3 linked regions of the Alligator mississippiensis genome follow. The protein of the gene in region 1 interacts with the protein of each later gene in a pairwise test. Links are inferred from orthologs where the notes say so. Each region holds a gene or a part of one and is shown on either strand. Other genes may lie near its edges.

What was found.
Region 2: the proteins of CEP57L1 (region 1) and KATNAL1 interact in binary tests that used the Homo sapiens proteins (3 or more experiments, as listed by UniProt). The two-hybrid records come from large-scale screens. The link is inferred for Alligator mississippiensis from reciprocal best matches to the Homo sapiens genes CEP57L1 and KATNAL1.
Region 3: the proteins of CEP57L1 (region 1) and RAD51D interact in binary tests that used the Homo sapiens proteins (3 or more experiments, as listed by UniProt). The two-hybrid records come from large-scale screens. The link is inferred for Alligator mississippiensis from reciprocal best matches to the Homo sapiens genes CEP57L1 and RAD51D.

The regions. Positions count from the first base shown.
Region 1 is NC_081824.1:94,830,201-94,837,834, forward strand, and holds the start of CEP57L1 (centrosomal protein CEP57L1), read left to right. Parts: upstream 1-4,613; 5' UTR 4,614-4,723; intron 4,724-7,634. UniProt on the Homo sapiens protein: Centrosomal protein which may be required for microtubule attachment to centrosomes.
Region 2 is NC_081824.1:426,266,826-426,273,744, reverse strand, and holds the start of KATNAL1 (katanin p60 ATPase-containing subunit A-like 1), read right to left. Parts: upstream 3,020-6,919; 5' UTR 2,913-3,019; intron 2,580-2,912; exon of another isoform or gene 2,225-2,579; intron 1-2,224. UniProt on the Homo sapiens protein: Regulates microtubule dynamics in Sertoli cells, a process that is essential for spermiogenesis and male fertility. Severs microtubules in an ATP-dependent manner, promoting rapid reorganization of cellular microtubule arrays.
Region 3 is NC_081837.1:26,422,201-26,429,572, forward strand, and holds the start of RAD51D (DNA repair protein RAD51 homolog 4), read right to left. Parts: upstream 3,020-7,372; 5' UTR 2,943-3,019; intron 2,711-2,942; exon of another isoform or gene 2,607-2,710; intron 2,536-2,606; exon of another isoform or gene 2,189-2,535; intron 2,091-2,188; 5' UTR 2,022-2,090; coding exon 1,940-2,021; intron 1-1,939. Other genes in the region: UNC45B (protein unc-45 homolog B), read left to right, coding at 3,285-3,371. UniProt on the Homo sapiens protein: Involved in the homologous recombination repair (HRR) pathway of double-stranded DNA breaks arising during DNA replication or induced by DNA-damaging agents. Bind to single-stranded DNA (ssDNA) and has DNA-dependent ATPase activity.

The sequences.
Region 1 (7,634 bases):
TAAACCTAGTTTTACAAGTCCCACTCCAGCCAATGGACCACACTTCTGATTTTATGTACAGCCCCCAAAGAAGGAATTCTACATCTGGTAAAATGAGAGCTGGAGGAAATCTTAAAATATTTTCAATCAAGTATATTTGATTTTATATATGTGCATAATTCTGTTGCTAGATCCTAGTAATACTGTACCTAGATTTTTCTTGCATATCTCTGCAGTCATGTACCAGTCTGTGGACAAACAACTGCCCAACTCTAAAACTATTGTGCTTTATACTGAGAACTCCAATCCATGACATTTTGTGAAAAAAAGATTTGCACAACTTAGTATAGAAATTGCTTTTCACCTCTAATTTTTATTTTTTATTTCCTTTTCCTAAAGAACTGAATGCTAATTGTAATGTATTGTAGATCAGCTGGAAAAAATCATTTTTCTTCATTCTGCCTTTCAAAAAGCAAGGTACTTATTTTATTCCAGGGTGCATTGTATATGAGAAAATATGGTATGTACACATACCTATTTTTTCTTTCCTCTTTGATTTTGTTGCAAGTGAGGTAAAGTTACTAAGCATTTTCTTTTTTTCTCAAGGCAGAAAAGTCACCGGACAAACATTTTTTCATGACTCTTTGGCTGAAGAGTAAAAGAGTTTCAGCATACGAAGCTCCACAATAGTTTGAACCAAAGAATATTGAAGCTTGCTCTGTTCTCCGTCACATATTACATTTCTAGTAGGAGAAGTGCTGCTGTTCCACTAGAAGTTGTCAGAGTGCAAATGTTCATTCAATTTCTCATGGAGAAAACATGCCCCGTCCATAAGAAAAATGATTCACTTTGACACCTGGAAGATCTCTCCTGCCCTGTAAGAGTATCCTCTGCTAGAATGCAAAACTCTAGAACTCTTTGTTCAGAAATGATACTTTTTATCTGACCAACTAAGAAATCGCAAAAAAAAAAATCTTTTTCTGCAAGCTTTTGGGCTCTCATGCCCTTCATCAAGCTCAGGAAAACACTTGTCCACTTTCACTTGACTTCTCCATGATGGGAAGGAGTTGAGCAGATGCTTCCCCTGTGCCTTCCCCAGACCAGGGGGACTCCAGTCTGGAGAAGGTGCTGAGACATTTATCTGTAGCATGACTCCTCCCGGTCAGGGGGATCCCAGTCTGGCGAAGGCTTGGAAAACAGTGGCAGCTCAAATCCTCCTGATCACAGGAGGAGTCATGTTGCTTCCCCAACACCTTCTCCAGACCAGAACTCAACTCTTCTTGTGGTTGGTAGGAGTTGAGCTGCTGTTGCTGTCCACAAGCCTTCCCCAGAGCAGGGTCCTCCTGATTCCTACTGATTATGGGAGGAGTCCAGCTGCAGCTGCCCCCACCGCTCCCCACACTGGGGTGGGGGGTGGGACTTGGACTGGGGAGGGCATGGAGAGGAGGGGAAAAGTGGTAGCTGTATGCTGGAATGCCTGTACTTTTCCTCTTGGGAAAATTTCTACTGCTGCAAATATCTGATTCTTCTCTCTAAATTTTCTTCTAAAAATTCCCTGCTCCCACTAGGTCCCTCATTTAACAATTTAACATTTAGTCACATCCTTAAAATTAATTTAAGCACATGCTTAAATGCATATGTTGCTGACCTTGGGCCTAGGACTAATTTAGCTCCAGTACTTAGAAATAGCGGGTCTACAAGTGGAACTCCCAAGTTTCTAGCCTGTTTGTCTTGGGGAGATTACAAGAATGCAAAATCTTTTAACGTGCTCTGATCAGGATTATAGTACACTGTTGTTAAATGGTGGCGGCAGGATTTTAGTGACTGCCGTAAGTTATATCGCAGTTTATCTACAGCAAGGCTGAGGTCTGTCTACAGTTGATTCCCCCCCCTCCACCTCAAGTACCGGGCTAAGGCCTTCTTTCTGTGCCTATTGCCATGCCATGATTAAATTTCAGAGGACCTATCAGGATAGATTCTCCAGCTGTTCAACCTTTCTCATACTTCTTGGAGGAAAACAAGAGGGAAAAACAAATGAGACATCAATTTGAATCATGTCAAAAACAGGCCTCTAAGTCCTTTAACAGCTTCGTTTGGATCATTGTGACAAAGCTGCAGCCAGTATACTGGGAGTTTCTTGGTCCTGCCTCTGTTGTAGCAATTCATTTAAATTTTTCTTGTAATGTGTTAGATAAACAGTGAATCATTTCTTGGCATGTCTGAGTTTTTAGTATGTTCAAATGTGTTTGATCAGGATGAGCTGTTCATGCCTAGTAGGTCAATTTTTAAGATGGATATCTTTGTTTTCCAAAAGTACAATTTAGTCTCTTTGATTTCACTCTCCATAATATTTTGTTCATCTTTTCTTTTGTCTCTTCTAATAAACTACCATTAAAACCAAAGACACTTGCATTTTTAAAAAAAGTTTGCCTGATAGTCTACCATTTTAGACAAATTGGTACTTTTGGAAGGAGGATTAGATCTGAAACACACTGATGAAAATAAGTGAAGGACAACTATACCAACAACTTAAATTTCCTATCCTATGTGTACTCAGTGTGACTGCTACGCTAACACCATTCTTCCTAACCAGTAAAATTCACACAACCAAAACCTTCAATATGTGCTGTTTTCATTAACTAGTAGAACTACACTTGTGGTGACTCACTTCCAGACTTCTCCCTATAAAGGCATATTTTATGTAAAAGTTATATGTCCTTGGTTATAAAGGGGTCATAACTGGATGTTAGGCCGCACCCAGCCTATTAGTGGTATCTATTAAGTCATTATTACAGACCTGGTTATTTGTCCTGAAAGGCTATAACTACTTCCTTTACAATACAGCTATGTTATATACTCCATGTGTTGGGTTCCCAATATTCCCAAAGCAGTGGTTCCCAACATTTTTGCCCCATGGAATGTGTGGACAGTGCCAGGCCAGATCCAGCCTGTGGGCTCAATTTGGCAAATACTAGGCCCAGAGTGCAAGGCCCCAACCAGCCACAGGGGTGTATAGCCCAACCTTGATCTCAGCCCAGGGAGAGGCAGGGAGTGTCCCAGTCTCTATCTGGATATGTGGGGAGAGGGTGGGACAGAGCAGCCCCAATCTGGATGTAGGGAGGTGTGTGCGGGGAGCAGCTCAGCTCTGAACTTGATGCATGGAAGGGGCAGGGGTAGGGTGGATAGGCCCCAATCTGGACCCACAGGAAGGGGATGTGGGGGTATGGGGGGAAGCAGCCCCTATTTGGACATGTGGCAGGGATGGGGAACAGCTCAGCCCAATCTGAACATGGAGGGGTTGGCCAGGCCCTGATACCAGTTTGCCACAATGGCCCAGGCTGGTCTGGACCCAGCCCTGTGGAACTTCTCCCAATCCCCAATGATAATTTTTCTGACCCATGGGGATTCCCAAAGGCTGGATGTCATAACTGTGTGGGCCAGATTTGGCCAGCAGGCCGGAGGTGGAGCACTCCTGTATTACAGCAGTGGTCCTCAATCTTTTTACTTAAGGCATCCCTCATTTAATCGAATCATAGAAAATTCAGGTTGGAAAGGACCTCAGGAAGTTATATAGTCCAGCCCCCTCCTCAAAGCAGGACCATCTTCAACTAGCATCCCAGCCAAAGTTTTGTCACCCCTGGTCTTACAAACCCTAAGGATGGAGATATTCTACAACCTCTCTAGGTAACCTGTTGCAGTGTTTTTCCTCCTATCTAACCTACATTTCCCTTGCTGCAACTTGAGGCCATTGCTGCTTGTTCTGTTATTTGCCACAGCTGAGAACAGCAGAGCTCCATCCTCTTTGGAACCCCCTTCACGTAGTGGAAGGCTGTTATTAAATCCCACCCCTGTCAAGGCACCCCCTCAAAATGCCAGCTCTTAATTTTCACTTGTTTTTTGACAGCAGAAAAACAATAGAATGAGGGGCATGGGCTGCTTAGGCAGCTCTCTTGTATAGGACTGACTACTAGTTGAGATGAAGTTAGACATGCTTTCCAATGCATGATACCTGTAGTGGAAAGCTTGTCTAACTATCCCAACTACCCAGTTGGCCCAATAAACACCAGCACCCTGAGCAGTCGGTGCCTCCCATCATTTCTGGACCATCGCAGCAGGGGTGGCACCATCCTCTTCCCAGCGGGGGGCTGAGGTGGGCTAGACAGAAAACTGGAGGGGCTTGCGCTATGCATTTTCTGGCCAAATACACTTATTTCTTTTTTTAACAATACCCACTTAAGGCCTCTGCAGGTGGGAGCGGGGTTGGTGGCATGGCTCAGAGCAGGGGGCTTGGACAGGGGTGGCTATGGGGGTGCTAAGGCAAATTTGGGGGTGACTATAGGCCCCCAAAGAAAAATCACAGGGCAGTTCTGTTGCAAAGAGCTCAGTCCACCGCGGGCCAGAGCCCGGCGTTTGCAGCGGGGCAGATTCTGCTGCGAAATCTCTGGGTTTCTCCTGCCAGCCCCGGTTGCGCCCCTGCAGCACCCTTGCGAGGATCCCCCAGCGCCCCTGGGTGCTGCAGCGCCCGGCTGAGAAGCGCTGTGGTAAAGGGAGACAGGGAGCACACCTCCCCGGCCCTCAAGCCCCGGCTCCTCTGCCCTGGACCCAGACGCCATGCCCTGCCCTGCCCGCGCCCGCCGCTAGGGGCGCGCAGGCCGCCGCTGCCGGGAGGAGCCGGGGGCGGCCCCGGGCAGAGGCGGGAAGGAAGGCGGCAGATTGAAACCCGCAGCAGCGCCGGGCGGAGCAGGTAACCGGGCCTGGCTCCTCGCTCGCCCCCCATGCACCCCGGGCCCCTGCCCTGCGCTGCGGGGAGAGGGAGGCCCGCGCCCGGGAGGAAAGGCCAGGCTTGGTGGCCCGAGTCGGCGGTGGCGAGAGCCCCCCGCGAGGCCGGTCAAGGGCGCTGGGAACAGCCGCTCCCTGGGGAAGGGCAAGGCCGGAGCCGCGGTGCGTCGGGAGAGACCTGGAGCCCGCTGGTCTGACCTCCAGGGAGATTTGCCCCTTGTCCACTGACGAAGGGGTGGGCGCACGCCACGAAGCGATCTTGGGCCCACAGCCCTTGGGCGCTAGGGCTCGACTGTAAGGGGCAAATCAGCAGCTCTAAAGGGGAAGCCCTGGGAGGCTGTCTCCTGTAATCTGCCCTCTCCATCTGTTTGAATCCCCACATCTGCCTCTAGCCCATCTCTTCATCTAATCGGTGGTGCTGGTGCTTTCTCCTCCCCTGGAGGTGTTTAAAAGGAGATTAGACAAGTACGTGGCTGGGGTTACTTGACCCCAGTGCTCTTTCCTGGCCAGAGCAGGGGTTGGACTCCATGATCTAAGTCCCTTCCAACCCTAGAAATCTGTCCATCAAATCTGACCTCTCAATCTACCTTAATCCCTTAAATTAATATAATCTCCAAAATCTAATCCAGGGGTGGGCAAAATACAGCCTTCCAAGGCATTTTGTCCAGCCTGCCTGGCCTAGGCACCAGGGGCAACCCAGGCCATGGCATGTGCGGCTGGTTGCACTGCCCGGGGCGTGCAGCAGGGCGGGGGTGGTGCAGTGACCAGATTGTTTCCTGGCAGTCCCAGTTGTGGTTCCTTCCAGCTGCCAGTCCCAGCTCCGCTGCCCTGGGACTCTGCACCCACGGCCAAGGGATGGACCCTCCTGGGCAGGGTGCATGGCTGGACAGATGAGAGAGGGCCGTGGGTGCATGGGGAGCCACGTCTGGGAGCGGGACAGACAGGTGGGGCCAGGGACTGGAATCAGGATTGTGGGGCAGTGACAGCGCAAGGGCCTGGGCAGAGCTACAAATCCACTGCCTGCACATCTCTGTAATGGGCTCCTTTTCCATGGGCAGGGACATGTGGGGAGCAGATTATGGCACGGCCCCAGGTCCCAGCCCCGTGCTGTCACCACCTCACAATCCTGATCCCTGGCCCGGCCCCATCCCCGCCAACCAAGTCCCAGATGCAGCTCCCCATGGCCCCATCCCATCCTCCTGGGTGCATGTCCTGCCCATGCAGGCCCTGGCTAGTCCCCATGGACACCCTGGGGTCACAGAGCAGTGATAACATGGGGCCAGGCCCAGGGTAGAGCTGCAATCTGTTCCCTGCATGCCTCTGCCTGCAGAATCTGTGCCTGTTGCAGGGGTGTGCGGGGAGTGGATTGTGGTTTGGCCCTGGGCCTGGGCCCTCCGCTGTCACTGTTTTGCAATCCTAATCCCAGCCATGGTCCTGCTCACCTATCCCGCTCCCAGGTGCTGCTCCCCACCTCCCTGTAGCCCCATCCCAGCCTCCCCGCCACATGCAGGAGCCAGTTAGGGAGTTTTAGTGAGCTGTTGTGGGGTGCGGGTGCTGGTTTTGCCTGTGACAACTCACTAAAAATGCCTAAGTAATCCTCTAGCCAAAATAATTGCCCACCTCTGGTCTAATCCGATCTCTTAATCTACCTTAATCCCATTTTAATCCAATCTAGTCTCTTAATCTAACCTGGCACGATAATCTAAATTAATATAATCTCTTAACATAATCTGATTTCTTAGACTGGATTAAATTAGACTCGAGCTAGTCCAAAAGGTCAGATTAGATTATGAGACTAGATTAAATTAGATTCTTAATCTGAATGGCTCTCTTAATCTATTCTGATCTAATCTGTTTACTTTGGTTAGTCTATAAGGTACAAATCTAGCCTGCCTTCTACTTGACTTCAGACTAACCTGGTTAACTACATCTTTCCCTACCAGAATTACAGACAGGTCACCCTACCACCAGGGCTTTTTCTTTAGATCTGTAGATTTGCCTATTATAGATTAACCAAAGCAGATAAATATAGCCCAAGGTTTTGAGGGCCCAAACTCACTTTGTCAGATGCACTGACTATTTTGGTTAGTTTATAAGGGGCAAATCTACCCTGCCTTCTCCCATTGGGAGTCTGACCTGAACTCTTTTGTTCTGTGAGGGAGGTGAATGCAAGTGGAAACCTCAAACTTCCCTAATGGAGGTGAATGTCATCTCTATTGTGATGTTGTGTGCTCAAATAACACATCAGTTAGAAAGGTGTCTCCATAACAGGAAAAAAAATTAATTTGTGCCTTCCTTTGAGGCACAAGATGTCCTGAAATTTGTATCTCTTCTTCCCCATCCCATCCCATAACACCCCTTCCTTGCCACCCTACTTATTTTAGAGATGCCTGAAATGTCAAATCTGGCTTCTTTTAAGTTGGTTTACCTATATTCTGTCAATGGGATGGGGTGTTTGCATTAAAAAAAAATCTTCCCCACTTAATCTAAACAGTTATTAACCAATTAAAGTATAGCATTTATACTTAAACATCACTTCCCCTAGGGAAGTTTTGTTTGTTTTCCAATGGCAATATTTAACCAGCTAACAATAGGGAGCCTGCTGGGGAAACCTGGATAAATCAGATTTTTATTTCCAAGGCAAAACACTTTTCAGGATGGAAACAATTCTAGGTCCCTTTTACATACTGATTTGAAAAATGCCCAGCGTAACTTTTTCCCTTTTTTCCGTTGTTAAAAATATAAAGGTTATCTTCGAAAGTCCGGGCTTTGTTGTACTGGTGCCTGTAAAACATATAATAAAAAACAGTATCCTGTCCTGAGACACAGCAGACAAAAAGAACAAAGGATAAGATAAAGGGAATTAATCTCTTTTG
Region 2 (6,919 bases), about 330 Mb from region 1:
TCCACTGCATTTAGCAGGATGTTTTTCTAATTAAATTACACACAGGCTAAATAAAACATTAAGGCTGCAAAGTCGACTGCTTAAAAGTTAGGAAGTGATAGAATTAAGGTTGCCTGTGTAATCTTAACTCAGCCCTCTTGTGCATGTGCATTATGATATAGTTGTTAATTAGTAAAGGATTACAACGTAGGTTTTCCAAATAAGCCCTGCCTCGTTCGGTATGCAGCAAAGCTGTGCTTTGGGGATGAATCAAGGTTGGGGAGTGAATGAGGTTGCACAAAACCTTTTGTTCTCATTTTTTTTTGTCTTACTGTAGCGCCTAGACATTCTAATCGTAGACTGGGAAACTCCTGCTAGGTACTGGACAAACACAGCACAAAACTCTATCCTCACTCCGCAAGGCTTGCAACCTAAGCATAAGACAAAACATAGCAGATGGCTACAAACAGATGGGAGAGTACATTGTGACAGCGCTGGTCAGCATGATAGGCAGTGCTCTTGTACACTAGCAGCCTGTTAAGTATTTTTGTAGCCATCATGGCAAAAGAGAATGTTAAGAAGGAATCTGAAATGAAATAGCTTTATGATGTCTACTCCCCTGTGAGGCTTCTCCCCACAGGAGGAACAGATTAGGAGAAAGCACAATGATTTGCACTTAAAAATGTAACGGGCACACAATGAATGTGGGTATCCTGGGTTAATCAGGTATGGGAGCTCACATTTTCACAGCAAATGGTGGGGCTGGTGGGGAGTGGCAGGCCATGGAAAACTTTCAAAGTGAAAATGAGTAGCTTATGTCTGATGTGAGAAACAAGAGGGAGCTAGTAGAGGCATGCGGAGAGGAATGCCCTGATCAAAGCAAGAAGCAACAGCAGTCAGTATAGATCTGAGCAGGAAAAAACCCTATATTTTTCAAGGCCAAAGAAAAATACGTCACAGTAATTGTAGTGTACAATGATTAGAACCTAGAAAAAACCTGCCAGTTGTGTGGATGGGCTAGGAAAAGCCAAACCTTCAAATCTTACATAGACTGAAGGGGCCATAATCATTGCATAAACTGGAACGCAGGCACTGACTGAACAGTGCACAGTGCCCAGAACTAGTGGACACATTTTTCCTAATTTCTCATACCTTCATTTCCCTATGTGAAAAAGGGATAATACTCACTTTTCTCAAAAGGATGTTGTGAAAAGAAAGCTATCAATGGTTGCAAAGAGCCCAGATCCTGTAGGTAAGCTAATGAGAAAACTGTCTTCAGCCTATGGTTTGAAAAAGGCTGTAATTAAGGCATGGGATCATGTACTGAACAAGGGGAAAAAATACTGAAACAGTTGATCATGAAAGAAGCCCCGAGGCCTTTGGGAGAAGCCTGTGGAAAAACTGTGTGACTGTGTATTTGGCATCAGAATATACAGATACAAGTGCCGTGTCTGCATGAGATGCAGGGGTCCGTGACTACTGCTCAGTAGTGTCATGTGTCAGGAAGCATGATGCAATGCTACTACGCAGTAGTCATGAGCTACTGCACAGTCAGTGTCATGAAAGCCATTCCTCAGCGTTACTGCAGTCATTTAATACTTGTATAAACTGCGCAGTCAGCCTCCTTTATAGATGCAGCCAAGGCATCCAAGCAAGGTTTGCCTGGCAACTTCAACTCCAGCACTGCCAACTTTGGAGGGCTTGACTTTGTAACCCCAGTGACATTCTTTTAATACTAATTTTTGCATGTAATTTCCTAAGCTTTTAAGAACTCAAGAACTGCCATTTACTGGGTCAGACCATAGGTCTGTCTTGCCAGTAGCCTGTGTCACTCAGGGGCAGGGAGTAGATGCTGAAAGGGAGAGTGAATTGGGTGTGACCAGGGTTTTTCCCCCTTGCTCTCTCATTTGCAGCCTCCAGCATTTAAGGTCTAGAAAGTTCTCATTCAGAGGCCGCATCCCTAACGTCTGGGCTCAACAGCTACCAATGCCCCTTTCCTCCAAAAACATGTCGTGTCCCATCCCTTTCTGAACCGGGCTCAGCTGTCAGCATCCGCAGCACCTGAGGGCAGCGAGGTCCCGGCTACCTGACGCTCTTCGTGAAGAGGAACTTCCTAGGGTTAGTTTGACACGGGTTGTTGGGTCTCTTTTACTGGACATCAGATTTACGCAGAGCACCTTGTCTGCCTATGTTCATAAACCACCACAGCTACAACCCACACCCCTGCCATTAGTTTTAAACTTACTGCCCACTCCGTTCGTGTTGCAACCCCCAGTTCTCGCCTTGGGGGACAGCCGGTAGCAAATCCCTGTCGATGCTCTCCCCACCAGCCAGCATGTTGTCAGCCCTCCTGGTGCTCGCCACGAGCCTCTCTTTTCTCAACACATTAGGCCTGGCCCCTGCAGTCTCTCCCCACATGGACGCCCCTCCAGGGCTCATCATCCCGCCGCCCCTGCCTGAACCCTCCTCTGGGTCCTGCACCTCCCTGCCGAGGTGCGGGGGGGAAGCACTCAAGGGGGAGCCACGAGAAACGCGGCAGGAGGGCCACGGCCCCCCAAGCCACAGGGCGGGGATGGAGGAGCTCGAGCCCCCGCTCCAGAGGCCTCCCCCGCCCCAGCACCGTTACTTGGGCCCCGCGGCCACGGCCGCGCCCAGGCCTGGGCCTCCGCCAGCGCCACCCAGGCCCGGCCCGGGGCGCGCTGGGGCTTGCAGTTCCCGCCGCCCGCGCCTCGCCCAGACCCCCGCAGAGCCGCGAGCCGGAGAACTCCATCTCCCAGCGTGCCCCGCGGCACAAGCCTCCCGCGCCCCCTTCGCCGCAGCACCGCGGGGGAAGGCTGCGTGCCCGAGCCGGCTCGCGCCGCCGCCGCCGCCCCCCGCTCTAATGGGCTTGTTTGTCGCGCCCGCCGCCGCCCGCGGATCCGCCGCGCTGTTACCTGGGCTGAGCCGCCGTCGCCACCGCCTTCGCCCTGCAGCGCGCCCGAGGGGTGGGGGGGCCCGCGAGCTCCGCCAGGCAGCGGCGCCCGTTGCCATGGAGACGGGGGAGGGGAGAGGACGCCGCGCTGCGGCGACCCGCGGCCCCGCCCCCCGCGGCCGGCCCCGCCCCCCCTGTCCTGGCGGCCCCGGGGAGCTCGGGTTGATTGCCAGGGTCAAGGCCCTTCCGGACATGGGCAGAAAGCCTACCAAGCCTGTTGGTTGTAGCCGTGTCGGCCTAAGGAAATCAAATAAACATTAATAAACAGACCTCTCGATGGGGTCTGACTGCCCCACGGCAGAACCAGGGTTAAAAAACTTCCACGCGGATAATTGGGGAAGAAAAGCAGGCTGCTGTCCTTCATGTGGACTGACCCATACTTTGCTCCTGGGGAGCACTGAATGTTAGGAGTCTTATTTTCTGTGTCTGGGACCAAAATACCTCCTAGTGGTTACAGACAACCACGCCAAATGTAACACCTGCTGAGTCATCTATTATCACTAAATGTGGAAGCCAGTATCTCTGTGACTTAATATAAACAACAGAAGGCAGCTCTTAGAAGGGAAAAAAGGTTGCTCTTAGCAGCTTTGTTCGCAGGGAAGAAGGAGCAGTCATAAAGCATGTGAGATTCCAGCTAGTGAAACACGCGGCTAAACCAAGTGCCTAATTTAGGATCTTCTTCCTGTAAAGCAGTGTTGCAAAGTGATTAGCTTTTCCCAACTGTGCCTGACAAGACTATGTGTCAGCTCTTAGTTCTTTATAAAACATGAATTATAGTTACTTCCCTAAGGGTAGCACAAGGAGATCTTCATTTGCAATCAAGTTTTTGGTGTTTTTCAGTAGATGATATAGGGTTACACCTGGGCTTGCACTCTTTCCCCTAAGCCAGGGGTTGTCAACCAGGGGTATGCATACCCCTGGGGGTACTAGGGACAGCCCCAGGGGGTATGCATGGTGGCGTGGGGAAGCAGCGCGCAGCAGCATGGAAAGGTGAATGGTGGCGGTGGCTGCTGCATGTAAGCTCCCCACCCCCCGCTGCAGTCATTCACCACTTTGCACCACTGCCATGCACCACTTCCCCATGCTGCCATGCGGTGCCCGCTTCACATCCATCTGTTCATCAGCACCCCCCTCCCCCTGGTCTGGAAGGGGTTACAGGGATACCCACCAGAAGGGGTGCACTCCTTTAAAAAGGTTGAGAACCCCTGCCCTAAACTACAGAACATCACATAGGAGCATAGAAAATTAGGGCTGGAAGGGACCTCAGAAGGTCATTTAGTATCTCTGTGAGCAGTGTTCAAGGCAGACTCATCCCTGACTAAACTATCCCAGGCAATGTCTGTCTAATTTATCAGAATGGAGGTTTTACAGCTTCTCTAAGTAGGCTGTTCCAATGCTTGAACACTCTCATAATCAGAAAATAAATGACTCCTAATCTCTAACCTGAGTTTCCTCTGCAACAGTTTGAGGGCATTGCTCCTAGTCCTATCCCCTACCTACAGCTATGTAAAAGAGGGGCTCTTCATCTTCTCCATAATCACCCTTCATGTATTTGAAAACTGTTATCCAATCTCCCCTCAGTCTTTCCTTCTCCAGACTAAATAGTCCTAGCTCTTTCAGCCTTTCCTCATAAGCCATGCTTCCCAGGTTCCTAATCATTTTTGTTACTCTGTGGTGGACCCTTTCCAACCTGTCCACATCTTTTTTGAAGAGTGGGACCCAAAACTGGACACAGTACTCCAGGTGAGGCCTCACCAATGCTATATAGTGCAGAAGAATCACTTCCCTTGATTTGCAATTGACATTCCTGTTAATACAACCCAGTATGGTGTTGGTATTTTTTGTGACAAGAGCACACCACTGACTTATATTTAGTTTATGGTCCACAGGAACCTTCAGGTCCTTATCTACAGTACTGCAGCCTAGCTACTCATTCCCCCATCTGTGTTTGTGCATGCAGGTATTCTGTTCTAATGCAGGAATTTGCACTTGTCCTTGTTCAATCGCATCTGACTGATTGTGGACCATTGTTACAGTCAATCCAGGTCATTCTGTGTTAGGGACCAAGTTGTATGTGGTCTTGCCTAATGGTTAAGCCATTGACAGAAGGCAGGGGCTGGGTCAGAGTTTGGGAGCGAAATCACCAGGTCTGGAGGGAAAATCCAAGGGCAGAGTCCAAAAACAAAGGTCAGGGTCAGAATCAGGGTCTAGAAATCAGAAGCCAAGTTACCAAGTCTCAGGAATAATCCACAGGTCAAAGTCTGAGAACAGAGCCAAACTGGGGTCAAGAGCCAGGAAAGCCAGTGAGCACAGCAACCAGAAGGCTTGCCCAAGTACACTGGATCAGAACTGTTGACTGGCCTGGGACTCTGCTGCTGGGGCAACATGGATGGGCAGCACACTCAGGCATGAATCAGGAAGTCACTCATTCACCTGGGCCAGAGCTTGTCAGCCAGAGACTTATGGCAGGTGGGGCTGCCCAGGCAATCAACCCAGGCTGGGCTACCTGGTTAGGGTCCCTGACATTCTGGATCCTAGGCCCACTCTCCAGAGGCTCTGCAGCTCCACCCAACTTGATGTCATCTACATATTTGCTAAGGGTGCTCTCAATCCCATCATCCAAATCATTAATGAAGATGTTGAACAGTACCAGACCTAGGACAGATGCCTGGGGACCCCCACTAGATTTATTCTTCCAACTAGAGACTGAGCCACTGGGGACTACTCATTGAGCACAATGATTCAGCCAGCTTTGTATCCGCTTTACAGTACTTTAGTCTAGTCCCGGGCTGGGCAAAATACGACCCGTGAACTGGATCTGGCCCGCCAAGCAACTCTGTCTGGCCCATGGGGCCCCTCCATAAAACAATTATTACCAGCCCATGGCTGCCCTTCTGCAAGCCAGTGGGAGGTGAGCTTTCAAAGGTTGTGTGCCATTGGATTGGGCAGGCTTTGTGCTTCCACCTCTGTGGGGCTCCTGGCACTTCATCTGGGAGCCCCATGTAGAGGCACTGAATGTGATGGCACACTATTGGACAGCTGGTGAGTGAGAAGGAGAGCTCCTGCCTGCAGAAGTGGGGGTGGGGTTTGTGGGTGGGGGTGGGCCCCTCTGCCATGGTGCACAGCTCCTGCTGGCAGTGGCAGCAGCAGGTGGTGGGCCCTCAGGGCTTTCCTGGCCCGCTGCAGGCAGAGCCCCCCAGCAGTGCACAGCTCTGGCTGAATCCTGAGAGCTGCACGTGGTGGCATGGAGCCTGCCCAACCTTGCATGCTGGTGCACACCTTCAAACCAAACAAGGCTGGCTCCATGCCAACACATGGGGCTCCTGACACTGCAGGTGGGAGCTGAGTGCCATTGGGCCAGGCCGATGGTGCGGCTCTGTGCCTCCATGTGAGACTTCCACCACTCCAGTGGGGAGCCGCACATGGTCGCACAGTGCCTGCCTGGACACCCACAAAGCCCCACATCCCTTCACAAACCTCACACACACACACCTCCACAAATCCCACCCCTGTCACACACACACACAATATACAAGAGTACAATTTTATTTTGAGCTATTATGTAATGACCTCTATGTACACTATGCAAATAGATCTAAATCAGGACAAAAATATTTTAAAATACAATTAAAATATGTTATAGTAGATGTTTAGTTTTTAGTATACGATTTTTTTTTTCAGATTCCAAGGTGGCAAACTCCCTCTCCCAAAAGGAGTGCTTCTGGCAGTGGGGGGGAGGAGGAGGGAGAGAGGGGAGGGTGGACTTCTGGTGGCAAAGGTCAGGCATGACTACTAGCTCTTGGTGAATTCATCAGGGCCGCCCTGAGGGTTTATGGGGCCTGAGGGCAGGTGTGATGTTGGGGACCCCACCACTTTGTGTGTACAAGGACCCGTGTGTGTACAAAGCTGAGGGACCACATGCGAGAATTCTTGCACACACATATCACACGTAAGAATTCTCACATGCGA
Region 3 (7,372 bases), on another chromosome or scaffold:
GGCAGTTGAACACCATTTCCCAGCAGTCCCATCCTGCGTTGCTGTGGCCAGTTTCCACGGAGATCCCAGTAGCACAGGACAGGGCTTCCGTGGAGACCGGCCCCAACAGCACTGGCAGGGCATGCAGCTGGATGGGGAGCTGCTCCAAGGTATGTGGGCAATGGATCACAGCTCTGCCCCAGCTCTGGACCACGCTGTCACTACCATAAAATCCCAGCCCCGAAGCAGCTCCCCGCCCAGCCGCTTGCCATGCCAGCGCTGCTGGGGCTGGCCTCCATGGAAACTCTGGTCCCACGCTGTTACAGTGCCACCACGTCTGGGGTCTGCATGAAAGGCAGCCACACTGACGTGGGCAGAGGCTGCTGGGAACTCAGGGGCTGAGTCCACCGCAGGCCATCTTTGCCCACCCCTGTCTTAAGGCCTTGTTACACATTGCAGTTTGAGCTGCTCAAATGCCAATCAGTCTTACAGCTAGCTCAAGTCTGAAGCAGTTTTATGTTCAAGCCAGCAGAGGCCCTGATGACCAAAAGGTAAGAATCCTGCCCCCTCCCCACCCATTCTGGGCTTCCTCCTGTCCCTCAGGTTCCACCCCTTACCACTCCCATCCCTCCCCCACCCCAGGGATCCCCCCGTCCCTCCCACCTTACTTTCAGCTGCCAGTGCTGTCCCCAGGGGATAGGCAGGGAAAGGGAACACCCCCGCCTGGTCCCCACCTCCACTGCTGCCAATGCACAGCAGCTCCTCTCTGGGTTAAGCCCAGTCCAGAGAGCAATGATAGCAGTGGCAGGGGCTGGCAGTGGGGGTCACTGCCTGCTCCCTTGGAGCAGCACTAGCAGCCAAAAGTAAGCTGTGAGGCAGCAAGGGGGATGAATGGGGATTTGGCTTGCAGGAGAGCAGCGGACCCATTCCAGGGGGCAGCAGGCCAATCATGGCTGGTAGAGGACAGGGGTGCTGATTCAACTGGGGTGAGGGGCCAGGGGGGCAGTGGATCCAATCCAGGCCACCAGGGGTGGGGGAGTGTTCACAATAAGCTGTAGCCTAGAGTGGCTAAACATAAGTGTAATGTGACCTGGGTAAGATGGATCAGAGCTCAATCTAAGCTGAGGTGGTCCATTTTTAAGCTGTGCTGCTTAAAGGGTGCTTAAAACTAGTTTCACATGTTAACGTGTGGACAATGCTGGGGTTAAGAGCTCCAGGAGCTACCTACAACTGACAAGTAACAAGGCCCTCAGTCACTTCTCAGAGCCACCAACCCCTGCTGAGATCAGAAGTGGAACCGGGTGTCATTATGCTCCCTGGGGACAACTGCCTTACCCGTTCCCCAATGGCAGCAGGGATGAGGGTGCTGCACCAAGAAGGAATGGCCTAGCAGAAAGTATAACTTCAAATATCCAAGATATGCCAAGCTTCCAAATACTAAAGCAGGGGTGGGCAAAAGGTGACCCGTGGGCCGGTTGCAGCCCACCAGGCCATTCTATCCGGCCCATGGTGCCCCTAAAAAAAATTAGAAAATATTTATTTGCCCCTGATGGCCTGTCTTGCAGCCCTTGATGGCTTGCCAAAACTCAGTAAGCGGCCCTCCTCCCAAAATAATTGCCCAGCCCTGTACTAAAGTAACATGTTCAAGGTCAGGAATTAGATAGGCAGATCTGGCTGCCTTTACAGCATGGGGATTTTCATAGTCCCCGCTACTGCTGTGTGAGGCATGAACCACATCCACTGTCCTGTCCCTTGAAAGCAATGTTAGACTCTGAGCCAGCCACCAAGGCGCACAGAACATGCTGGGACCTGGAGTAGCTTCCTAGGGGCTGCCCCACAGCACAGACCATCAGAACAGGCTCAGGGGTCCTAGGAAGGGGGAGAGCCCTCTGCCATTCCCAATTCATCCCCCCCTGGGGGGGGGGTGAGTCCTGCTCTGAGACTCTGGGCTGCCTTTTACCTGTTCGGATGCCACTGGCTTTCAGAAGCTGGATCATCTCTGCCGTCAGACCAGGACAGAGTCCTGCCTGCAGCATCACCATGGCCCTGCCACGTGCCCAGGGGGGTAGGGCGCAGGAGACGGGAGGCTGAACACCATGCAGACACGCACCCTGCACAGAAGAGAAGAGGAGGGGTTTGTATCCAGCAACGCGGAGGTGCCACTGGCCTTGCCTTGTCCCACCTTGAGAAACAAAGACGTGGCCCGCACCAGGAGCTCCGACCGCGGTAGATGCCTGCCAGGCCACTCTGCCCCAAATTGAAGAGTCCCTCTCAGAGCCTGGTCCAGGAGCCTAGTTACAGGCTTGCTTAGTTAGCTCTCCTGGCCCCTGCAGGTGGTCGCACATGAACTTATTCGCGGTGTACTTTGCAGTAGCATCTACAGGTGCCAGTCAGGGATTGGGGCTTCCCTGCACCGGGGTCCTGAGAAGTCAGCACTCGCCCCCAACTCTGAAGTGGGGAAAGGGCTCTGCACAGTCCCACGATCCGCGTCTTTATATCATCGCATCTGGGCCAAGTCTGACAAAAAAAAGCGGAGAGCGCAAGCCCCTGCCCCTGCAGCAGTCGGGCCACTGCAACCCCACGGAAAGCCCGGGCTGCCTGCGGGCAAAGCGCCAGCCCCCGCTCACCTCGCTCCGCAGGGCTGGGCGCGCAGCGCAGCCAGGGCCGCTTCACGCCAGTCAGCCCTGCACAGACACCCGCCAGCCCAGCGCGCAGGGAAATCCGGCTCGGCTCCGCGGCCCCACCGCTCGCCTCCATCCGCGCGGCACCTCCTACTTCCTGCGCCTGCGCCTCCGCCTCCGCCCAGCCCGCTCCGGGGCCGCGACCGGCTCCCCCGCGCGGCGGCTGCAGAGGGGGCCGCCACAAATCCCAGCCCCGAGAAACACTGCCCCGTCCTTTCGCTGCCCGCTCGGCCGTGCCCGGATCTCGCTTCCACTAGGCCTGCACGTGCGACCCCGGAGCACCTGAAAGACGTGAATTACTCCCGTTTGCTAATCCTGTTCCGGTTGCTACTGGCACAGTCTCTCCCCAGAGTCACAAGGCTCCTGATCCTGCCTTCAGAGCCGGGTGGGTGAAGTCCCGTGAGCCCCTGGCTGGTGGTAGGACTGTGGCCTACAACTGAAAGGTATCAACAGCTTCCCCCAACTCCTGGTTTTGCCACCAGTCTGTTTTCTTCGGTGGGAGTTTTTGCGCCCTTCCACTGCTCGGCTCTGAAGTCATTGACCCTGCAGCAAATTCCCCAGCAAGCAAAGGGTCCCTCTGCACAGAGCTCGTTTCAAGTCACACGAGTTGCTCCACTGACTCACATGAGGCTGCTCATGCAAGTAAAAATAACCACATGCATAAAATCAGAACTGGAGTCTGTTCCCTCCTTGCTGGGCATCAACAAGAGGGTAAAAAAAAGCCTTTCACAGCTTTTTGTTTATTAAAACTAGGACCCAGTGGATTATATTAGAAACAAGCATATATACAACTCATGAACACCTTCCTTCAGATCCTAGAGCAAAGGTTGTGTAACAAGGAAGCTGCAGAAACATCAATGATTGGAAATAGAACTGAACTTGGTCTCCGACTTAAAAGCACCAGTTTCCAAGGCTCAGCAAAAGAACTAGGGGGTGTGGAAAGCCAGCTCTGCTCCCAGATGGGATACATCTCTAATCAACCCCTTCTCCTGGCAGATTCTCCTTCCCTAGCGGGTGATGAGCAGGGATCCAGGTTTTCTGTTTCCCATGGAAAAACAGAGAAAACCACAGATTCCGTTTTTATCAGAGAAAACGCAGATTTCTCTTTTTAGCAGAGAAATCCAATTTTGCAAAGAGCTCTTGCAGGGTGGCACAGCTCCAGCCTGCAAGAGTTGATTTGCAAAAAGGGTGGGAAACCCCCAGCCTTGGCTGGAGGGGAAGGAGAGGGGGGAGGGCAGGACCTGAGCCTCTGAAGCAGCCAAGGCCAGGCTGCGGATCTGACTCAGACTCGCCCTTCACCCCTGGAGCATGGAGGTAAGTGGGGCTGTGAGGCAGGACTGGGAAGATGGTTGGGGGCTGAGAGAAGGGGGTGCTGCCGGCCCCAGGCGGCACTTTGCAGCTGGGAGCAGGGCCAGGGGGTGAGGGCAGGGGTGCCCCTCTGCAGGGAGGCGTTGCGGGCAAGTGACATGAGGCATGGTGTGGTGGTACCTGCCATATGCAGGCTACACACATGCTGCCTGGGGGAGGAGAAGAGGGAGGCTGGCATTCGGCCAGAGCACAGCTCCATGGCCGATTCTGCAACCACAGCAGGAACTTGGGCTTGCACGCGGCCGCCACTGCCACTTACCTGGAGGTCCGTGATGGTGGTGACAGCCCCTGCCTCCAAAACCTCCCACTGCCGCTGCGGTGCTGTGCCTGGAGCTGTGCAGCCAGCCGCCAGGTGGCAGCAACAGCATGGTGGTGGCCATGCGGCATGCAGCCACCAGCACCCTGCGCCACCGCAATGTGCCGGCTGGGGCTGGCAGCACCCCTTGTTCCCTCAGCCCCCAGCCCTGCCCCACAGCCCCTAAGCCCCACACCTCTAGGATCCAGGTGTGAAGGGGCATGGCTCCACAGTAGCAGCGCTTGCCCACAAAGCCCCCCCACCCTGCATGCAGCTGCCACCACCCCACACCACCACGGAGCCAGTTGGGCATGCCACTGCATGCAAGCCCCCCATTTCACCTTCCAGCTGGGCAGCACATATGTGGCCCACACACGGTGGTTGCCACTGCACTGCTGCTGCCGCGCCCTGCACCACTTGCCCACAAAGCCAGTTAGGTGGCCGTGGGATGGTAGCGCAGAGTGCAGTGGCAGAGTTGCGGTAGTGGCCTCCATGTGTAAACCTCCTGTCAGGCCAGCCGGCATGTGTGTAGCCCACAGAGTGGCACCCTGCCCTCACCCCCCAGCCTTGCTCCTGGGAGTGGGCACAGGGGCACACTCCCCCCCCGCCTTCTTCATCTATTCCCCCAGCACCTTCCCTTTCCCCCGCCCTGCCCTGTCCCTTCCCCCCACACACTTACCTGCTGTGGTAGGTGTCAGCATCTGTGTCTACATGCCTGTGGGTCTGGCAGGCTGTTGCGAGGGGCATCAGGAGGGCTGTTGAGACGGGGGGGGTGGAGTGCGAGGCACCAACAGCCCTGGGAGGGGCTGTGGGGGGCCCTTTAATTTTTATCACAGAATTTGGGTTTTTAATCAGAGAATTTGCAACTTTTAATCAGAGAAAACTAGGATCCCTGGTCATCATACTGTCCATGTTTTGTCTTGTCTGCATATTCCTTTGTTTCACAAACCCATCATATGCACATGTCCTAATTTGGTTCTTTCTGATGTCCTCCTAATTTGGTTCATCTATGCCCCACTCCACATCTGGCTGCTCGCCACCCCGCTCCACATCTGGCCACTTGCCAGCCCCCCACCAAAAGTACACTTTTTTTTAAAGGTTGAAAAACCCTGTTCTAAGGCAATATCTCCTTTACCTACAGTTCCAAAAAGCAAACCTCTAGATACCATTTCCTAGCCATCAACTACTACTACTATTTTAAGATAAAGCTATGATATAGCATATATGGATTATTTAATGTATGGTCTTATCTCCTTTTAGGCCTTGTGCTTTGTTTAATTGTATTTGATGGTTTCCTTTATTTGCTGACCAAGTTAATTGTCACATTTGCAAAAGTAAACACTACAGTCCCTCAGAAACAGGCTTTGGGCCTTCTGCTTAGCAGCATTTCTGCAGCTTAGCCTAGGCCCCTTGAAAATAGCCAAGGCTGGCAACAGGTTCTTGCAATGTAAGAAGAGCCACAACAAATATACTAGGCTGGCTCTTAATTTCAACCCTTCAAACTAGCTTCTCAGGATGTAAACTGAAATCTGGTCTCCCCTTCCAAAAGTTCCACCACCTGGCCACGTGAGGGCTTGTCTGAGGCTGGAGAATGAACTCCCACAGGAGCTAACTCCCAGTACAAGCCTCCTGACTTTCCACCCTGAAGTAAAGGTGTGCTTCATTCTTGCTTTTTCTAAATAAAGCAACAAATGTATAGGTGCAAAGCACTCCATTGCATATACCAGACTCTGAAGTGAGAAGGAAGGAACAAATATATGTGAGATGTTAATTTTGTTACCTGATCCAATTCTGGAAGGTGTGTAGATGCCATGGTAATAAGTGTAGTATAAAAACCTATATAAAATCTAAGACAGCCCAGGTTTTACCCTCCTTAGGGCTGCTTTGACAGTACTGAGTTTTTGGTTAGATTTCTCATTGAACAGCCAAAATCCTTTGTTTCTGTTTTACCCAAAATGTTTTCACCCTCATACCTATCATATGCCTATACCTTTTATCTTTCAAATCAGTGCTCTACTCTTCCTCCTCTGAGCAGGCTGCCTATAGTGCTTCTGATGAAGGAATCCCTGTTTGGTATGTTATCATAGTCTTGGATACATAGACATTTTTCTGTTTGGTGTGTCTTTTTCATTCTTAATTTTAAAATGGCCACTGTAGCCCTGTTTCTAGGAGAGTTGAAGTCTTCAGCATATATAAAACATTATACTAGTGTTGCAAACATTCCATTTAAATAGGAAAGCCTCACACAGCCTATTGTGCCAGGTACCGTGCCACCAGTTTTGTGACCCACCCGAATGGGACAAGTCACTGAAAGCATAACACCCTGCCAGGGCTCCCAGACAGCTTATATATAATAGGGCAGTGGTTCCCAACCTTTTTTGTACTGCAGACCGGGACAGGAGTGGAGCTGGGTACACAGAGCCAGCTGCCTCCCTCCTGGGGCTGCCCCGCCACCCAGCTTTAACCCCACATGTGACTGTCGGTGGCAGAAGCCGCTTGCCCGGGAGGACAGACAGGGGTCCAAGCAGGGGTCTTGTGCCACAACCCAGCAGCCAGCCCTTCACAGCCCAGTACCAGGCTGCAGCCTGGTGATTGGGAACCTTTATAATAGGGACCCTAAAGTGAGTGCAGTTCTATATCTAGAGAATCTACAAAGCTAGATATGCACACAGATGTTTCTGGGCTCCTACCATTTTAGGTGTGATGCAAAACTGCAAAGAGAAGGAAGCACTGGACATGTGAATGGGATTTCTTTCTAAAGTGAGTTCTGGAAGGTGCTGGGAGAGTCTGGCTGTTTCAGCTGCTGTCAGGTCTCTTGTTCCAACACAGGAATCAAACCATTTGTTCCTAAGGCTCAAATGTCTTGTGCTTCCTTAAATAGAAAAGGAAGGGGGTCTGTGTATTGAAGCAGGGGGGGTCAATCATCCTGACTCTGCATTTCTTTTGTTTAAATATCCCATATTTCAGCTCTTTTCTATGACTGCAGGTGTTTGAAATATATTTTGGTTCTCTGGTAGGAGGAGGCTTCCTAAGTATCTTCTTTTAAAAA